4 linked regions of the Oryctolagus cuniculus genome follow. The protein of the gene in region 4 purifies or fractionates together with the protein of the main gene of each other region. This does not show direct contact. Links are inferred from orthologs where the notes say so. Each region holds a gene or a part of one and is shown on either strand. Other genes may lie near its edges. The genes, in order: AIFM1, FLNA, FLNC and OTUD1.

Region 1 (3,757 bases), on a different chromosome or scaffold from region 4:
CTAGTCCCTAGATGAGTTTTTTACATATGGATTTGGTTACGGCATGCATCAGCTCATGTCCACTAAACTGCAGCCACATAGTAAGGGTCTGTTCTAGTGCAGCCAGTTCTTACAGTGGAGATCTGGCCTGTTCTCCCTCTGTTCAGAAGGGATTTGGTTGGAGCTGCAAGTCCCTTTAATCAAATGGAATATTTTAAAAAACCCAGATGTCATAATTTTCTCCTTACAGAAATATTCCTAACAGGACTTTTAAAAGTAGTAAAAATTTCCTCTTAATTGAAGTAAGATCTGATTTTTAAAAGTTTAGTAATTTAAAATGCCAACAAATGAGCTTAGGGAATTCTGTCTCCCCCAAGAAATCATGTGCAGAGGGAGGGATGCCTATAAGCATGGTTTAGAGAAAAGGAGCTCAAGAGGGCAGGTCAGTAGTTTGGGGCACAGTGGATAGAGGAATCCAGAGACCATGAGACCCAAGAGGAAACCTCCTTTCATCCCCCAGTTAGGAGTCATTCAGCTCTGGAGGTGCTGCTCCATGTAAACATCCAATCTCTTGATTGGATGTTTATTTCTTCACTTATTCAGCAACAATTTACTAAGCACCTACTAGGAGCCAGACCCTGGGCTAAGCTCCAGAGATAGAACCATGGCTGAGACCTTAAGGCATAGTTCCTGCTTCCAGGAAGCCACGGGCTAGCAGAGAGACAAACAAGGATCAGGCTTGAAGGGCCAGGAGAGTGTTCAGACAGAACCTCTGAGAGGACAGGGTTAAGTGTTGTGGGCAGAAGCCACCGCAGGTGCACGCAGAGGGGGGTCTGGAGAGGGAGGGGACTGGGGGAGCTGAAAGGAGTTCTGAGTGTGGAGTAGCTGCAAAGTGCTTGCTTTTGTGTCGTATGCACAGCTTTCCCCCTTCACTCACCTGCCCCCTTTACAAGAGAACAGAATGGAATTTAGAAGAATCAGATTTTATTTCATGATGTGAACATTAAGAATTTGCCTATGTGGCTGAAAATATTCCCAAGGGAATTGATCATTCACACTTCTACACCAGAGAAAGTTTGCTGAATAATAATAATAATTAAAAAAACCCCGCTCCTTTGCCCATCCAAGCCACAGTCGGGGAGGAAGACGTGCTGGCCTACTCCATTACAGGGCTTCAGTCTTCGTGGATGTTGAACAGTTTGGCTACTTCATTGAGGTCTTCGTGTTGCTCGCCATCCTTAATGATCTGAAGGAGAGAGTAAGCACAGGTCCCGAACTCACCCCAGCCATGTTCAGGCTGGGCCCATATCACACTGGGAGGGAGTTGTGGGAACAGCATTCTACTAGCTCAAAATGACCAGTGTGCCAATTCACAGCGCACCCAGCTCCATCCCAGGGCAAAAAGGAAACACTCCTGAACCCAGGCTACAGCTTTGTTCTGCTTGGGCACCATTGCACCGGGGTGATGATGCAGCTCAGGGCACCCGGTGAAGCCACAGGAGTGCATTCTAGCCCCAACTTCCCATCTGCCTCCAAGTGCTCTGGCAGGTACCTACCTTCCTTGCTATTGGCATTCGGTTAAAGATGTTCCACAGCACGATCCCCACCACCACTTTGTCCCTGAGGTAGAAGATGACACCTTTGCCATAGTCCTCCCCCTGGGCTGGGGCCTGTGGGACACCAGGGGTGCTGGGAGGAATCGTGATTTCTGAGGCCTCCAGCTCTGTCTCACTCTCCGATCGGATACCTGTTCCTGTGGCCAATACACAAAACACATATACACAGTCAAAACTTCAGTCCTTATGACATTCTAGAAGGCAAGTTTTTTTTTCCAAGGCTTGCTTCAAGCTGCTTCTAGGTGATTTTTGTATGCTTTTTTGGTGGACTCTGGCCATCTTCAGCCCCTCTCTACTGATGAAGCCAAGAAAAATTCTTTCTTGCCAGCTCTTGGGCACTGGACCAGTCCTGACCCCAAATTCCCTTCCCTTCCTATCTCATTTAAAATATTTTAAAAGATGCATTTATTTGAAGGGGGGGGGGATCTTTCATTCACTGATTCACTCCCTACATGGCCATAACAGCTGGGGCTGGGCTAGGTTAAAGCTAGAAACCTGGGACTCCATCTGGGTCTCCCATGTGGTTAGCAGGGGCCCAAGTACCTGGGCCATCATTCGCTGTTTCCCTAGGTGTGTTAGCAGGGAGCCGGATCGGAAGTGGAGCAGCTAGGCCTGGAATCAGTGCTCCAAAATGGGCTGCTGGCACCGCAGGCAGCAGCTTACCCACTGTGCCGCAACACCAGCCCCTCAGCCTCCACTTATGCGGTGCATGTTTCCTTGTGTCTGATTTTCTTCAAACTGCAGAGCTCTTGTTTTTGTCATCTGAAACGTTGTAGAGCTGCATGGCCTTGTTCATTAGCCACAAGCCACATACAGCTATTTAAATGAAAATTATTTCAAGTTAAGTAAAATGTCAGCTCGAGTTACTTGTTTGCACTCACCACGTTTCAGGCACTCAGTAGCCCCAAGTGGAGAGAGCAGAGCCAGAACATTTCCATCATAGCAAAAGGTTCTATTGGATGGCACTGCTAAGCAGACACTCTAAGCAGAAGGCACTTCCATATGGAAAAACCAGAGCGGGGGCGTTTCTTCCTAGAGGGGGAGGGGTAAGGGAAGGAGGGAGATGGCACCCTGGGAAGGGGGAATCTTGTCTTCTGAGAACCAGCAGGCTCTAAGTGACACTGCCCAGTGGACAGAGCAGTGAGTGACCTGGTATCTATAAAGCACGTGGCCCTCTCTCCTGGACCCACGTACCAGGACTGCCCAGAATTAAGAGGCATGGAATACATTTGAGTCACACAGGAAAGGGACCTAAACATCCAAATAATGTTTCGTTTTCTGCTTCTTAAAGAGCAACTTGCCCTTGAAACACCTTTGGCAAGAAGATACAGAGGTTAAAGAACTTGAGCCAAGGTCGTGGAATAAGGCCTGGGAGTTAATGAAAGAGACGTGTGTGGGAGAGAAGTCCATTCCAAGAGAGGTGCCTCCTGTCTAAAGGCAATCTGGCATTCAGATCTGATGAACAGAAATGGGCTCCAGGCCTACTCAGTCCTACTCAGTTCACTGCCCAGGAGCCGTGGAGGACGGCAGGTCCGAGGCTAAGGTTCCCAAGCCTGCTTCTGGAGATTAGCACGAAGTCAAGAAAAGCAAAACCCAAACCTGCAAAGTCAGGCTTTCTTCATCACATGGGTCTTGCCAGGCCCCAGAGACAACTGAGACAACGGGGTGGCTGAGCCGCCGCTGCCCGCCACCCACACTATTTCAGTCTGTGCTTTGAGCGGGATGCATGCTTTTGCCAGATCACAGCCCACTAAAGAGTGAGGACTTTGGGTCTGGTTTCTTGTCAAGCACACCATGAAGAGAGGCTTTCACTGGCAGCCCCCTCTGGCCACACAGGAACCCCTTGTTCAGGAGAACCTGGACCACTGCTGCTCGACACTCTTTCCAAGCGAAGTGGTTGGGCTTCCTTACCTGACTGCTCCGTGGCAGACTTTGGGCTGTCTTGTGCAGTTGCTTTTGCAAAAACCCCAACTGTGGGCAAACTGCTGTCCACAAGCCCGATAGCTTCATAGCCAACATCGGGGCCCAAGTCACTCCTAAGGAAGGAGAGAGAAGAGGGTGTCCTGTCACTCTCGCACGGGCTCAGGGACTTAGGCTGTGTGACAATAAGAGAAATGCCAAGCTGATCTGTCACTGGGAGGGCATCTGGGGACAACCATGAG
Region 2 (4,307 bases), on a different chromosome or scaffold from region 4:
GGTCCAGATGCTGAATTCGGCTGTGGAGAGCGGTATTTCCTCCTGGAGGGTTGCGCCTCTGCCCTCAGCCCCTCGCCATGGCCCCGATGGCGTGGCTGCCGGCAGCCTCCCCCCCACTGCCCCCGGGCACCCAGAAGAGCAAGAGCTGGGTGGGCAAGCGGGCCTACCTGGCACTCCGGCTTCAGCCCTCTCCAGGCCAGGGCCCCCAGCACGAACCTTGTGGGCTCCTCCTTCCCCCAGGGGCCCCACGGTGAACTGGAAGGGGCTTCCAGGCACGTGCTGGCCCTTGTACTTGACACTGACTGTGTGCGTGCCCATCTCAGCAGGCACAAAGCGGATACAGTAGGTGTGGTTCTCGCCTTCCACGATCTCGGCCTCGTGGCTCTTGCCCGAGGGGCTGGTCACCTGTGCGGTCATGTCCTGGATGCTGATTTCTGCAGGGAGGAGGTGGCCCGGTGGGTAGGAGGTCTGTGCCCCCACCTGCTCCCAGCAGCCCTCCCTGGCTCCCCACAGCCCCTACCAGGGATCTTGAGGCTGAGGTCGCAGTGACTGCCAACGTTGGCCACCGAGGGGGCCCGCCGCCTGCGTGTGATGCTCTCTTTCACCCGGCCCTCGCCTGTCACTTTCACGGAGAAGGGGCTGCCTGCAGGGAGAGAGTGCGGCCCATGCCCCGCGCGGGTTACACCCGGGTGCGGTAGGGCTGGGGGGAGGGCGGGGCTGCACTGTCACCACACCTACCAGGCACATGCTGGTCAGCGAACTTGATGTTGATGATGTAATTGCCGGGTTCCGTGGGGCAGTAGGTGACCCTACACGTGCCGTCTTCCAGGTCTTCCGTGTTGATGTCCACCTTGCTGGGACCCTCGATGGACAGGCTGAGCCCCCCGTAGCCTGGGCGATGGACAGCCCTGAGCCAGGCTGCCCAGCGCCACCCACGTCCCCCGCCCCCGCGGGCCCGCCTCCGCCACCTACCTGCGTCTCGAGTGTCGATGATAAACTCCGCGGGCTCAAAGGTGCGGCCCTCGTGGAGGCCCTGGCCGGACACGCGCACGCGGCTGGCATCCCCGATCTCCGACTGGCTGATCACCACCGGGATGGGGCTGCTTGCCACGTGCTGCCCGTTCTTCTTCACGTGCACCAGGTGCTCCCCTGTCTCCTTGGGCACGAATGAGATCCCTGGGCACGGGGCGGGGCTGTCAGCGGGGGCGGGCGCGGACACCCCCACCCACGCCCGCCCACACAGCCGCTCTTCCTCCGCAGTCCCCTCAGCCTCTCACCCACGTGGCCGTTCCGCAGCCGCTTCAGCAGGCAGGGCTCCTCCCTGCCCGAGGGCGGCACCACGGTGGCCGTCAACAGGCTGAGGTCCGTCTCCGAGATGTTGATGGGGATGTCGGCCGCAGAGCCCACCTTCAGGTGGGACATCCGCATGGAGTCGTCACCTGCGGGGGCGGCGGGGGGCGGCCATCCGTCACTGCGTCGGGCTGCAAGGGGAGAGCACGCCCACCCCCGCTCCCAGTGCCACCCACCTGTGACCCTGGCGGTGAAGGGGCTGCCTGGGATGTGCTGCTCGTTGTACTTGACCAGGATGCTGTAGTCGCCGGGCAGCACGGGCAGGTAGGAGACGCTGCACGTCCCGTCCTGGTTGTCCGTACAGCTGATTTCCGCTTTGGAAGGCCCCTCGATGGCCAGCGACAAGCCCCCTGGCCAGAGGTGCGGGTGAGGGTGGGCACCGTGCCCGGGGACACGCCGCCACGCCTGCTGAGGAGGAGCCCCGCTGGTGGGGCGGGGCGGGGCGGGGGCCGGCAGGCGGGGCTACCCCGTTAGGGACCCCGCCCACGTTCAGCCCTCAGCCGCCCCAGTGGGGAGGTCCCGGATGCCCAGCACGCGCCGCTCACCTTCTCCCGCGTCTTTGGTGTTGACGGTGAACGTGGCGGGCTTGTTGACCACTCCGTGACTGAGGCCGGGCCCGTAGGCAGTGACGTGGCCGCAGTTGACGTAATCCACGTAGAACTGCAGGGGGCTCCCTGAGGCGGGAAGGGGGCCGTGTCAAACGGCAGCCTCATGTGCCTCCACCCCCACCTCTCTGCGAGATGGCGGTGGCAGCGGCCGGCCAGAGGCAGGGTGGCCCACCTGGGATGTGCATGTTGTCGTAGCGGATGTCCATCTCGTGCAGGCCAGCCTCGCTGGGCGCATAGCGCACGGTCACGGTGCCGTCCTTGTTGTCAGTGATGGAGGGCTGTGCCACCTTGCCTGAGGGCATGCGGACCTCCCCTGCGGGGCAGCAGGGCAGTGGGGCAGCGGAGCTGGGTCAGGGCCGCCCAGTGGCTCGCCCCGGCCGCCCGGGCTCCCGCGCTCCTTCCCGCCTCATGCTCACCGGTGATCTCGCCCTTCTTGATGGTGAAGGGGATGACGAGGTCAAAGGGCCTCAGGCTGGTCACGTCCAGCCCGTTGACACCCACCAGGGGCCTCTCTGGGGCCTGCATGGAGACACGGGGCCCAGGTAAGTGGCTGTGGGGGCACGTGGGGGTCCCTCCTCGCAGGTGGCAGAGCGGCCGGGGCCCATGGGACTCCCTGCCCACCAGCCCTGAACATCTCTTTGGGCCGGGCGATCCGCGAGGTGGTGAGCCCTGCCGTACCCAGGTCTGCTGGCCACCCTGGGCATAGGTGTACTGTGGGGCCAGCTGCTGAGGCCGTAACGGGGGCTGTGCCGCGGGCTGTTCCCCAGCCAGAGCCTGTGGAGCAGAGCGGGAGCTGGAGAGTCTGTTGTCGCAGCGGGGCCCTGGGGGACGGGCCAGGCTGGACCTGTCAAGAGCCCCCTGCATCCTGCCCCCGGGCCCTCCTTACCGTCACTTGGAAGGGGCTGTTGGGCACATGTTCGCCACCAAAGCGCACACAGATTACATATTTGCCTGGCTGCGGGGCTGTGTAGAAGATGTCAAAGGTGCCGTCCTCGTTCTCAACCACATCCACGTCCACCTCTGAGCCATCAGGGGTGCACACCGTGCAGGTCACTTTGCCTTTGCCTGCCGCTTTTGTGTCCACGGTGATCACCGTCTCCTCCCCGATCTGGATGGTGGGGCCGATGCCAGCACCTGATAGGGCAGGGCAGGTCCCCGAAGGGAGGCCAGCACGTGAGCTCTGCGCTTGGGCTGCTCCTGTCTTCCGGCTGCCCCCCAGGCCTCAACGCCACCACCAAGCACAGCCAGGCCTCCCGCCCCACCCTCAGCTGGGATGGCGAGTGCTTTCTCAGAAGACAGGAAGGCTTCTCCTGACCACCTCAAGCCCTGACACCTGAGAGGCCTGACCGGGGGCACTCGGGTGCCCAGGAAGAGAAGGAAGGGCCCATCTCGGCATGAGCATCTACCGCCACCTCCCTCCCTTGCCCCACTTGGCCTCACTGGCATCGTGGCCCGTGCTGACAAACAGCAGCGCTCTAGCCAGGCCCACGGCTGCCTGGACCCCCTGTGGCCCAGCCCTGGCCCCCAGTGCTGTGTGGACGCGGTGAGGCAGAGTCCTGCTGCAGCGTGGGGGGACGTGACACTTGCCTTCCTACCCCCCTCCAGGCCTGGAGGTGAAACTGGAGTCTCCTGACAACTGAGAATGCTCGCTCAACCAGCGGCTCACTGTGAGAGGCAGCCCGGCGCAGGCGGGAGCAGGGAGGCGGGAGGCAGCCAGGTTAGCACCCAGGCAGTGCAGCACAGCAGGTTTGGCAGAGCAGTGGCAGCACCCAGGGGGACAGGGACAGGAGGCCCAAGCCACAGCCACCACCACTGGGTTGCAAGGGCAGAGAAGCTGAATAGCCTCTAGGGCCCCAGAGTGCCCGAGGAAAGGGGAGGTACAGTGACGTTATGATCTGGGGCTCAGCTGTGGAGGCTTGGGGAGCTGTGGGCTGTGAGGCCTGGCAGCGAGAGCACCCCTGTAGCCTGGCCTCCTGCCAAGGAAGCAGCCAGGAGCACCAAACTTGCTTGAGGGTCAAGTTCAGGGGGCACCCCTGGCCAGTCTGCCACCAAGTCCCCCTACTGGCCAAGGGTTCTTCCCCCTGCTTAGGCACTATGCTGACTGACCACAGCCCAGGTGGGTCTCCTGGGCTCTACAGCTGGCTATCTGCTGCCCTGGGAGGCCTCACTCACCTGCACCCCACACCACCCAGCTCATGGCTAGGGCTCCAGCCTCACAACTACCCCCGATTCCCACCTTTCCCAGCCCATCAGCAGGTCTTAGCTACTCTATTCTCCAAGTACCCTGTCCTGGCTGGGCTCCCACCTGAAATCCCATGGCCACTGGCCTGGCCCAAGCCACCCGTCCAG
Region 3 (4,307 bases), on a different chromosome or scaffold from region 4:
CCCCAAGAGACCCCCACACCAAGCCCCAGCCTGCGGAGAGACAGGAGGAAGAAACGAAGGAAGGGCAGGAGAAGGAGGCGAGGTGCGCCAGTACCCAGTGTGGGGGGCAGGTGCCGGGCCGGGGAGGGGCGCAGGGCTGGCGCAGCTGCAGCACCTCGGAGGGCTCCTCCACCTGAGGCAGGGGATCACACGCCTGGAGAGGCAAGGCACGGGGGGCACAGGATGCGGCCGACTCAGCGCGGCCCTGGGTGGGTACCCCAGCTGCTCCGCCCTCTGGAGGGCCTCCCCCTCCTGCAGGGCTGCCCCTGGGGACAGTGGGACTGAGGGTCAGACAGTTCTGTCACAAAGCTGATGGCCTGGGCTACACTCAGCGCCCCCTATGGGACGCTGTGGGGAATTCAGGGAGCACTGGGGGCCCTGGGACCCAGCAGGGATCTCTTGGTCCCTCCCCTCCGGCCACGCCCAGCTCTGCGGCCTCCCCGGAACTTACCAGCACGTGGAAGGGGCTGTTGGGGATGTGCTCGCCCCCGAAGCGGATGGTGATGACGTACTTGCCCGGCTCGGGCGCTGTGTAGTAGATGTCGAAGGTGCCGTCGTGGTTCTCGACCACGTCCACGTCGAGCTCTGCCCCGTCCGGGGTGGACACCGTGCATGTCACCTTCCCCTTGCCCGCTGCCTTGGCGTCCACCGTGATCACGGTCTCCTCCCCGATCTGGATGCGGGGGCCCAGACAGGCACCTGCCACGCAGCAGAGCCGGGTCAGGGGCTGTGGGTCCCCAGGCCCAGCTCGGCCCCTTCCCAGCTGCCCTCTAGCACCTCAGCCCCTAGCAAGAAGAGGAGAGGAAGGGACTCACCCAGGCCGTGGCCTCCAATGGACACTGGAAATAGAGAAGAGTGTGAGGCCGTGCTGCGCTCAGGTCGGGGGTGGGAAGGGGAGCCAGGGGAGGCGGGGGCGAGGGCCAAGGGTGGGCGCCCTGCATGGCGTTCCCCTGGGGCTGGGTGGTAGGCAGGGCAGGGGCCGTGGGGCGGGTGCTCACCTGTGACGAGGCACTTGCTGGCATCCCCAGTGGGCAGGGCGTGGATGCGGAAGGGGGAGTAGGGAATCTCGTCGCCGCCGTACTTGATGGTGATGGTGTAGCGGCCACTCATGTCGGGCAGGTAGGACACGGTGTACGTGCCGTCCCCGTTGTCCCGGATGTTGGCCTTCTTGGGCTTACCCTCAGGGTCCTGGGGCCGGGTGAGGTGGGGAGGAAGCAGAGGTCAAGTTCTGTCTATGCCCAGAGCCCGGCTAGCAGGTGGACTGGGTGTGGACTCACCAGGATCTGGACGGTGAGCAGCCCCTCACCGGCATCGCGGGCATCTATGGTGAACTCCACAGGCAGGCTGGCTGGGATGCCGGCAGCGTTGAGGCCAGGACCGCTGGCCCGCACCTTGCTGGCGTCATGGGCTGGCAGCACCTTGATCTTGAAGGGGCTGGGGGCGGTGGAAAGGGATGGACTGTGTTGGCTGGGGCATGACGAGGCTCAGGCAGATGGGCAGGGCTGTCCCCACAGCCCAGCAGTGACCCAGCAGAGCCCACCCCAGAGCTCAGCCATAGAGCTGGGAACCCGAGGCTGGTCCTCACCTGCGTGGCACCTCCTGGTCGGCGTACTTGACCGCTACCGTGTAGGGCCCGTCAGTGGCGGGGGTGTAGTGGACAGTGTGGGTGCCATCCCCATTGTCACGCACCTCCACAGGCTCGGCCACACCTGCGCAGGGGGCGCAGGGTCAGCAGGGCCTCCTGGATCCCAGCCCCCCTCCCAGCACCCTACCCCAGACAGTCTGTACCTGTGGGTCCCAGCACAGCCACCTGCAGGGGGGCCCGGCCAGCCTGACTGCAGTCCACGGTGAAGGTCTGGGGGACGCGGGCCCGGACGCCGGCACCCAGTCCTGGCCCTGAGCACTTCACCTTCCCAGGGTCTACCACATCCTTCACCGGCACCCGGAACGGGCTCCCTACAAGGAGGAGGACATCGGCCCTCACCCAGCTGCTGGGGTGGGGCCCCTGACACCCAGGCACCGCACAGGAGGCAGGCAGGTGCCCGCAGCACTCAGGAACTTGCTAAGAAGGCACGAACAAGGATCAGTGAACTTGGCCGCAGACAGAGGCTGGGCAAACCTTGCTTGGCTGGGTCACGGGTAAGAAAGAGGCCTTCCTGAATTAGGGAAATGCTAAAAGTGGAATGTGGCTTAAAAAATAAAACACAGTGTTGACATTGTGGCTGATACGATTAAAAAAAAATGCGGCCCCCCCGCACACCTGGGATGGGCCGCCCCCCGAAGGTGATGTTGACGTCGTAGTCGCCGGCGGTGAAGGGGATGTACTCCACGGTGCAGCTGCCGTCCTTGTTGTCCTTGCAGGACATCTTGGCTTCCGAGGGGCCCTCGATGGCCAGGCCGAGGCCTCCGGTGCCGGCCCCCCTGCAGGAAGAGGGCAGCCTCCCTCAGCTGTGGTGGAGGAGCAGGGGAGGGGGCGGGGCCGCTCTGTGACGCTGAGGGGAGCTTGGCGTGGGGGTGGGGCACCCAGAGAGGGGCGAACAAGGTCAAGTGGCCAGGCTGAGGGCGGTCAGAGGCTCAAGTCAGGCTTGGGCCAAGGGGAAGGTACCTGGTCTCCACCGTGAAGCGGTTGGCCTTGTTGACCAAGCCACCCTCCAGCCCTGGCCCGTAGGCCCGGACCCGGGTGGGGTCACAGCCCTCAGTCACGCCCACGCGGAAGGGGCTCTTGGGCACAGGCACGTCATCATACAGGACCTCCACCAGATGCACACCTGGAGGCGAGCGCCAGAGTCAGCCATGGAGGGTGACTCCCCCCGCCCCGCCCCCGCCGTCCTGAGCGTGCCCCTCACCCTCTTCATAGGCTGTGTACTGCACGCGGTAGGTGCCGTCTCCGTTGTCGGTCAGGTAGGTGTCCGTCTTGGCGCCGGAGGGGTTGAGCACCCGAGCCGTGATGTGGTTGCCGCCTGTGGCCGTCAGGGACCTTGCGTCCACCGTGAACTCAGTGGTCACCTCCCGCAGGACACCTGGACCCCAGGACAGGCGCGCTCAGCGTGGCCCGGGGGCAGCCTGCCCACAGCGGGTCCCCCTCTCTGCAGCCCTGGGAGCTGCGAGCCGTCTCCCACAGCCTCTGCCCTTGCTGCCCTCACTCTGTCCACTCTGGGCATCCCAGAAGGCTGTGGGCCCTTGAGGCAGGCCTGCCCACCCCCTGCTGGTGCCTCCCTAAGATCCCCCATAGATCTCTTGCTGCCCCCTTTCCCCAAAGCTCTCCCTCGGTATTCGCTGGAGCAGGGGGGCGGAGCCTCTCTGGATGAGGGACCCTTAAATTGATGAATGAAGGGATCTCCCCAGAAAAATGCTTTCTCACTCGCTCAGTGGCTTCCCTGGGGTAGCTGGGGCCCCTAAGGACTGGACTGCCTTCACCCAGCCCTCAGCTCTGTTCCTCCCCCGACCCTCCACTCCAGGCTCTCTCTCACTCACCGTGCGGCTCCACACCAGGCCCCGAGACCTTGACACCGCTCGTGTCGACGGCGGGCTGCACGTGGACGCGGGTGGGGAATTTGGGCACAGGGTGGCCCCCATATTTGATGGTGATGGTATAGGTGCCGGGGAAGGCTGGGCTGTAGGTGATGTGGTAGGTGCCGTCAGCATTGTTGTGGATCAGCACCTCAGCCTTGACCCCGGCGTCCGACAGGATCTCGATGGTCAGCTCGGCCTCGCCCGCCTCCGAGCAGTCCACAGTGAAGGTGGCTGCCTCGCCAGCCTTGCCACGCTCCAGGCCTGGCCCACTGGCCCGCACCTTGCTCGGGTCGAACACGGGCCGGATGGTGGCCTTGAAGGGTGAGCCGGGGATGTGGGCCTCGGCAAACAGGATGTTGATGGTGTACTCGCCCGGCTCCGTGGGCAGGTAGCTGACGGCACATGAGCCGTCGCCGTTGTCCTGGCACTCAATCTTGGCCTCGCAGGGGCCCTCCACGGTCAGCCCCAGGCCACCCGTGCCGGCGCCCTTGGTGTCGATGGAGAAGGGGGCAGGGGAGCCTACCAGCCCGCCTGTGAGACCGGGGCCATAAGCACAGACCTAAGGGGAGAAGCAGGTGTCTGGGTTCCTTACTCCAGGTCTCTCCCTATCCCCGTCCCCCACCCCTACCACCATGTGAGCCCCCTGAGCTGCAGCAGCTACAGCAGACCAAGGACACGGCAGGTCCAGGAGGGGATACAGAGGTGAAGAGGTGAGACGATCTGTCCCAGGTAATGAACCTGAGACTTAAGCCCCG
Region 4 (4,787 bases):
GCAGTGGAAATGGCCCAGGTCCTTGGGCCCCCTGCACCCATGTCGGGGGTGGGAGGAGACCCGGAAGCAGCTCTGGCCGTTGCAGCCATCTGGGGGGGTTGAATCAGATGGAAGACCTCTCTCTGTCTCTACCTCTCTAACTCTTTGAAATAATTCTTTGAGAAAATGCAAAAAAAAAAATACATTAAAGATCTACGCTGGCGGTGAGAGGAACATAAACGTACGAGACTTAGACACTGCTGGTTCACACAGAACGCGCGCTTCCCTCGCAGTAGCCAACAGGCACAGCTCCAACTGCAAACAGGAACTCCAATCAACACGTAACGTAAGGAGGGCAGTCTCTTGGGTTGCGCCTCCTTTCAGCTACATCTCACCTGGGACTAATCCTTGGCCATCACTAGCGTTGACAGCATTCTGCTCACGTGAGAACCTGCAGAACCTCTCAAGTCGGTTCCATGCCCACACGTGAGAAAACCCGCGTACCTGTGCGAACGGCTCCTAGACACACCGTCATCTTAAAGAACACTCCATCCAAAGAGACGTCGTAAAAGTAAAATTATGCCATTTTATTCATTCCATCAGCTGAGAATTGCTCAAATACAGTATTGTACAAAAAAATCACAAAATGTTACAAAATAAAAAAGTACAAACTGCATTACTTAATAAATAGGACTAAAAATAGGTAAAGTGGCAATGAGATAGAGTGTAGGTTGGAAACATCGTTTGACCCAGCAAACCACACAAGCTCTGTTCACAGACATCTTGACAGAACACAGGGGACTCCTATTTTGCCTTTTGAACACAATATTAAGACAGTATTTTCCTGCCGTCAAATTCCTGCCAGGGCTGGCTCCAGGCGTTTACGTTGGTTTCCAGATCTCTTTAGCTGAATCCAAGAAGCCAGGAAGCAGGAGGTTTATCTGGTCACAGACTGGAGTGGAAATCCTCGTGTAACAAAGTGACAGTTGGAGATAAAGCAACGAGGGCAGACACCCACTGCACACACCCGAGAGCAGCCATCACGGGCACTCCGCCCACAGCAGAAATCAAGACTTTAATTCAAGTAAGACCTGGCACTGCCTCTGAAGGAAAACAAACAGAATCTTCCCACACCTTCCCTTGGGTTCTTAAAAAAAAAAAAAATCGACCATCTCTAGAAAAATAATGATTTCCGTAACAACAACTCTGTCAACACGGAATGGGTGGAGCATCCGGATACACGCACGCATCCGCGTCCACGCGGAATCAGAGAGGACGGCGAGACTCCCACGTCCACGACAGAAGGCCCACCCGCCACGGATGCCTGTCCCAGAGAGCAAGGTCGTGGAAAGCAGTTTCCGAAAGCCGCCCGTCGCATCCCGCGAGGGCGGGCCGCCAGTCTCTAAAAAGGTTGTGCAAAAATACATTATTTCTTCTTCTTCTTTTTTTAATATATAAAATAGAGTGCCGGGAAGGGACCAGATCCACGCGGCGAGGCATCAGCAGGCCAGGAGGAGGCAGCGGGGGCGCCCAGAGCTCTCCGGAATCGCGCAGGTGCCCAGCAGCCGGCGGCTCGGAGAGCAAGCCAGGGAAGAGGGACGCGAGACAAGACTTAAGGCAGCACGCGCCGCAGGGCGTCTACGGGGACACCGCCCAGGGCGCGACCCCGGTCAGCGCTCCCGCCGCCGCCCCCGCCCCGCCCCCCGGGGGGGGGCTCACGAGCACGCGTTCTGCTGGATGTACATCTTGGACAGGGACACGGCCATGGACCTGGCCAGCTCCTCGTCGCGCTGCCGCTGCGCCTGCGTCTGCCGGCACCAGCGCTCGTACTCCGGGTTGGGGTAGCAGCGGTCGAACACCGCGTCGTAGTGGCCGTTGCTGAGCCAGCTGAGCCAGATGCTGGGCCTCAGGGCGTCCTCGGGCCCCAGGTAGTGGACCATGGTGGACACGGTGGGGCTCTCCCAGCGGCCCCCCGTCGTCAGGTGGATGTTGAGGTTCAGCATGCGGCCCATGGCCAGCAGCTCGGGGTAGCCGGCCCAGGCGCCGTCCTGCGCGGCGGCCACGAGGAACTCGCCCACGTCGCCCTCGATGAGCGGCCCGAAGTGGTCCAGGTGGTCGGCGATGTAGTGCACGGTCTGCTCGCGCAGCTCGCGGTGCAGGGCCTGGTCGCCGTACACCGCCTTGCTCACGGCCCGGTACAGGCAGTTGCCGTCGGGGATGATGTGGAAGCGGAACTGGTCGCGCTGCCGCAGGTACTTGTCCTGCCTGTCCACCTCGGCCAGGTACAGGGCCAGCTTCTCGTCGCGGGGCTCGGCCCGCCCGGCCGCCACCACCGCCGCCGCCGGCTCCTCCTCGGCCGGGGCGGGCTCGGCAGGCCCCGCGAGGTCGCCGCGGGGGCTGCGCCCGGGGGCTGCGCGGGGCTCCTCGGGGCTGGCGGGCGGCGCGGGCCCCCGCTGCCCGGCGGCCAGGGCCTGCTGGTGCTCGCTCCGTCGGAAGTCCCTGTCCGCGCCGTCGGGCTCCAGCAGCCAGGCCGGGGCGGCGCGGCGCGGCGCGGCGGGCAGCAGGCAGCGGGCGCGCGGGGCGGCCGGGGCCGGGGCCGGGGCCGGGGCTGGGGCCGGCTCGGGGCCGTGCAGCAGCAGGCGGTCCGCGCCCAGGGCGCGCACGGTGATCTGCGCCGTGGACGTGTAGTGCGGCGGCCGCGGCGGCTTGCAGGACGCGCCGGGAGGGCCGGCGGCCGGGCCGGCGGCGGCGGCCACCTCGAAGCAGGAGGAGAAGGCGGGCATCGCGGCGGCGGCGGCGGCGGCGGCTTCCCGGGGCGCGGCGGGCGGGTCCTCCCCGGTCTCGGGCTCCGGCGCGGCGCTGGCCGGCGGCGCGGGCGGCTGCAGGGAGACCTTGAAGGCGGCGGCGGTGGGCGCGGCGGGCGCGGCGGGCGTGGGGCCCGGTCCGCCGGCGGGGAAGTGGGTGCAGACGCTGCTGTAGAGCTGCATGGCCCCGGCCGCCGCCGCGCGGCCCTTAATAGGCGCGGCCCGGCCGAGCGCGCTGACCGCGGCCCCCGGAATAGAAACGGGCCGCCTCGGCGCGCGTCAGCGCCCGCGAATAGCGCGCGGGGCCTCCGGCCAAACGGGCTGCTGCGCCACAGCGCGCGCTCGGCCCGCCCGGGCCGCCGGCCAGTGTCCGGACGACGCGGCGCTGCGCTCCGGCCACGGGCAGCGCGGGGCGCGCGGCGGCCGGGAGGCGGCGCCGCGATTGTTTACCTCAGGCCGCGCGCCGCGTCACGTGACCGCCGCCGCGGCCGCCGGAACGAGCGGCCCGTCAGTCAAGCGCGCGGCTCGCCCCGCCCCGCCCCGCCCCGCCGGCCGCGCCCCGCCCTCCCGCGCTCCCCCGACGTCAAGGGCGTGGCCCGGCGGGAGCGCGGGGCGCGGGCGGGGCCGGGGCTCCTGGGCATGCGCAGTGGCGCGCGTCTCCTGCAGCCCGACCTGGGTTCCCCAGGTGCGTGGCGCGTTTCGGCTCTCGCGTGCTGCAGCTGGGCCGCGCTGGGTAGGCCGGGTGGGAGCTGCTCGGGGCCAGCGTTGCGGTTGTAGCTGAATGCAGCTGGTCTGCGCCCGTAGCCCCTGTCTGCAGGCAAACGCAAGGCATGGCTCGCCACCTGCTGCGCCTGGGCCGCCTTTGCTCTCCTGAGTTCTGAAGTTAGAGACGCAGGCAGCAGCCCTGGGTTAGGGGCATGCCTTCCCTCGCCTTCTCCCCAGTGCTGAGTACCTGATGCGGCTGTGTTAACACTGACTGAAGGGATGAGTGAAGAAAGAATTCCCAGGGTTTCTCAAAGAAGCCAGACTCTTGCAAATGCATTTCGGATTTTATTTTCATTGTATTTGAAAGGCAGAGAGTCGGGCCTCCCATCTGCTGATGCATTCCCCCCAAGTGTCCACAGCAGCCAGGGCTGGGCCGGGCCGAAGCCACAAGCCAGGCACTCACTCGGTCCAGGTCCCCACAGGCGCGGGTGGCAGGGACCCAGCTCCTTGGGCCATCCCAGCGTGCCCGTTAGCAGGAATGCTGGACAGGAAGTGGAGGGGCCAGGACTGGAACCAGGCTCTGCTGTGGATGGCGGGCATCCAGGCTGCAGCTGAATCACTGCCCAAATGCCCTCCCCAGGCGCCGGAATTGAGTTCTTCGCGGGGACTCCTGACCTCAGCCCACCAGGTGCCTTAACTCAGGAGAGGGTGAATGGGCGCCTGCTGGGGGCTCGTCCCAGGCCTGAAAGAATTGAAGGCGGAGGTGTGGGTTCATTTAAGGGCAGGGTACACGCTCACAGGTGAGTGCCAGCCCCCACCACAGTTGGCTTCACACTTTCCTGGGGGAGGGGGTGGTGGAGCCATAGGTGAGTATGCAAGTGGAGCAGGGTTTGGCAGGCTCTGGGCCCCTTTGTTTGGGCCTCTGGACAGTGTCCTGGCGTCTCCACGTGGGGCTGGAGCAGTCAGGACCCTCTAGGAAGGTGTGTGGCACCTGGTGCATGATGGGAAGTGAGGCTCAGGTGTGTGATGGGAATGGCTGTGATACCGGAATATGGCCTCCTAAAAGTCCCCAAAAGTCCCATCTGGGGTGCCGTGATATCACCGTGTGCTTGTTAGTAAACTCCCAATGTTAATAAGCCCACGTGGGTTCTTCCGAGTACCGGCATAGATGAACGAGGCAGCACGATACGTTTTAGGCTTTTATTCAGTGAGAGAAATGCATAGGAGCATGAGGGCCCTGCCTGTAGCAGAGGGAACTCTGGGTTCATACCGAGCACCGGGAGCCAGCCACGTGGAGGA

The links.
Region 1: the proteins of OTUD1 (region 4) and AIFM1 purify together in Homo sapiens (affinity purification with mass spectrometry; 3 studies listed by BioGRID, with this or other methods). This does not show direct contact. The link is inferred for Oryctolagus cuniculus from reciprocal best matches to the Homo sapiens genes OTUD1 and AIFM1.
Region 2: the proteins of OTUD1 (region 4) and FLNA purify together in Homo sapiens (affinity purification with mass spectrometry; 3 studies listed by BioGRID and IntAct, with this or other methods). This does not show direct contact. The link is inferred for Oryctolagus cuniculus from reciprocal best matches to the Homo sapiens genes OTUD1 and FLNA.
Region 3: the proteins of OTUD1 (region 4) and FLNC purify together in Homo sapiens (affinity purification with mass spectrometry; 3 studies listed by BioGRID and IntAct, with this or other methods). This does not show direct contact. The link is inferred for Oryctolagus cuniculus from reciprocal best matches to the Homo sapiens genes OTUD1 and FLNC.

The regions. Positions count from the first base shown.
Region 1 is NC_091453.1:107,805,764-107,809,520, forward strand, and holds the end of AIFM1 (apoptosis-inducing factor 1, mitochondrial), read right to left. Parts: intron 3,632-3,757; coding exon 3,507-3,631; intron 1,733-3,506; coding exon 1,536-1,732; intron 1,226-1,535; coding exon 1,154-1,225; 3' UTR 947-1,153; downstream 1-946. UniProt on the Homo sapiens protein: Functions both as NADH oxidoreductase and as regulator of apoptosis.
Region 2 is NC_091453.1:132,581,077-132,585,383, forward strand, and holds part of FLNA (filamin-A), read right to left. Parts: intron 3,093-4,307; coding exon 2,845-3,092; intron 2,733-2,844; coding exon 2,637-2,732; intron 2,478-2,636; coding exon 2,375-2,477; intron 2,272-2,374; coding exon 2,131-2,271; intron 2,025-2,130; coding exon 1,896-2,024; intron 1,701-1,895; coding exon 1,527-1,700; intron 1,440-1,526; coding exon 1,278-1,439; intron 1,177-1,277; coding exon 973-1,176; intron 892-972; coding exon 739-891; intron 644-738; coding exon 521-643; intron 435-520; coding exon 168-434; intron 21-167; coding exon 1-20. UniProt on the Homo sapiens protein: Promotes orthogonal branching of actin filaments and links actin filaments to membrane glycoproteins. Anchors various transmembrane proteins to the actin cytoskeleton and serves as a scaffold for a wide range of cytoplasmic signaling proteins.
Region 3 is NC_091434.1:165,040,157-165,044,463, reverse strand, and holds part of FLNC (filamin-C), read right to left. Parts: intron 4,112-4,307; coding exon 3,514-4,111; intron 3,060-3,513; coding exon 2,886-3,059; intron 2,808-2,885; coding exon 2,645-2,807; intron 2,461-2,644; coding exon 2,300-2,460; intron 1,996-2,299; coding exon 1,828-1,995; intron 1,749-1,827; coding exon 1,625-1,748; intron 1,474-1,624; coding exon 1,317-1,473; intron 1,228-1,316; coding exon 1,038-1,227; intron 879-1,037; coding exon 855-878; intron 739-854; coding exon 491-738; intron 194-490; coding exon 95-193; intron 1-94.
Region 4 is NC_091444.1:105,924,569-105,929,355, forward strand, and holds OTUD1 (OTU domain-containing protein 1), read right to left. Parts: upstream 3,205-4,787; 5' UTR 2,967-3,204; coding exon 1,695-2,966; 3' UTR 546-1,694; downstream 1-545. UniProt on the Homo sapiens protein: Deubiquitinating enzyme that specifically hydrolyzes 'Lys-63'-linked polyubiquitin to monoubiquitin.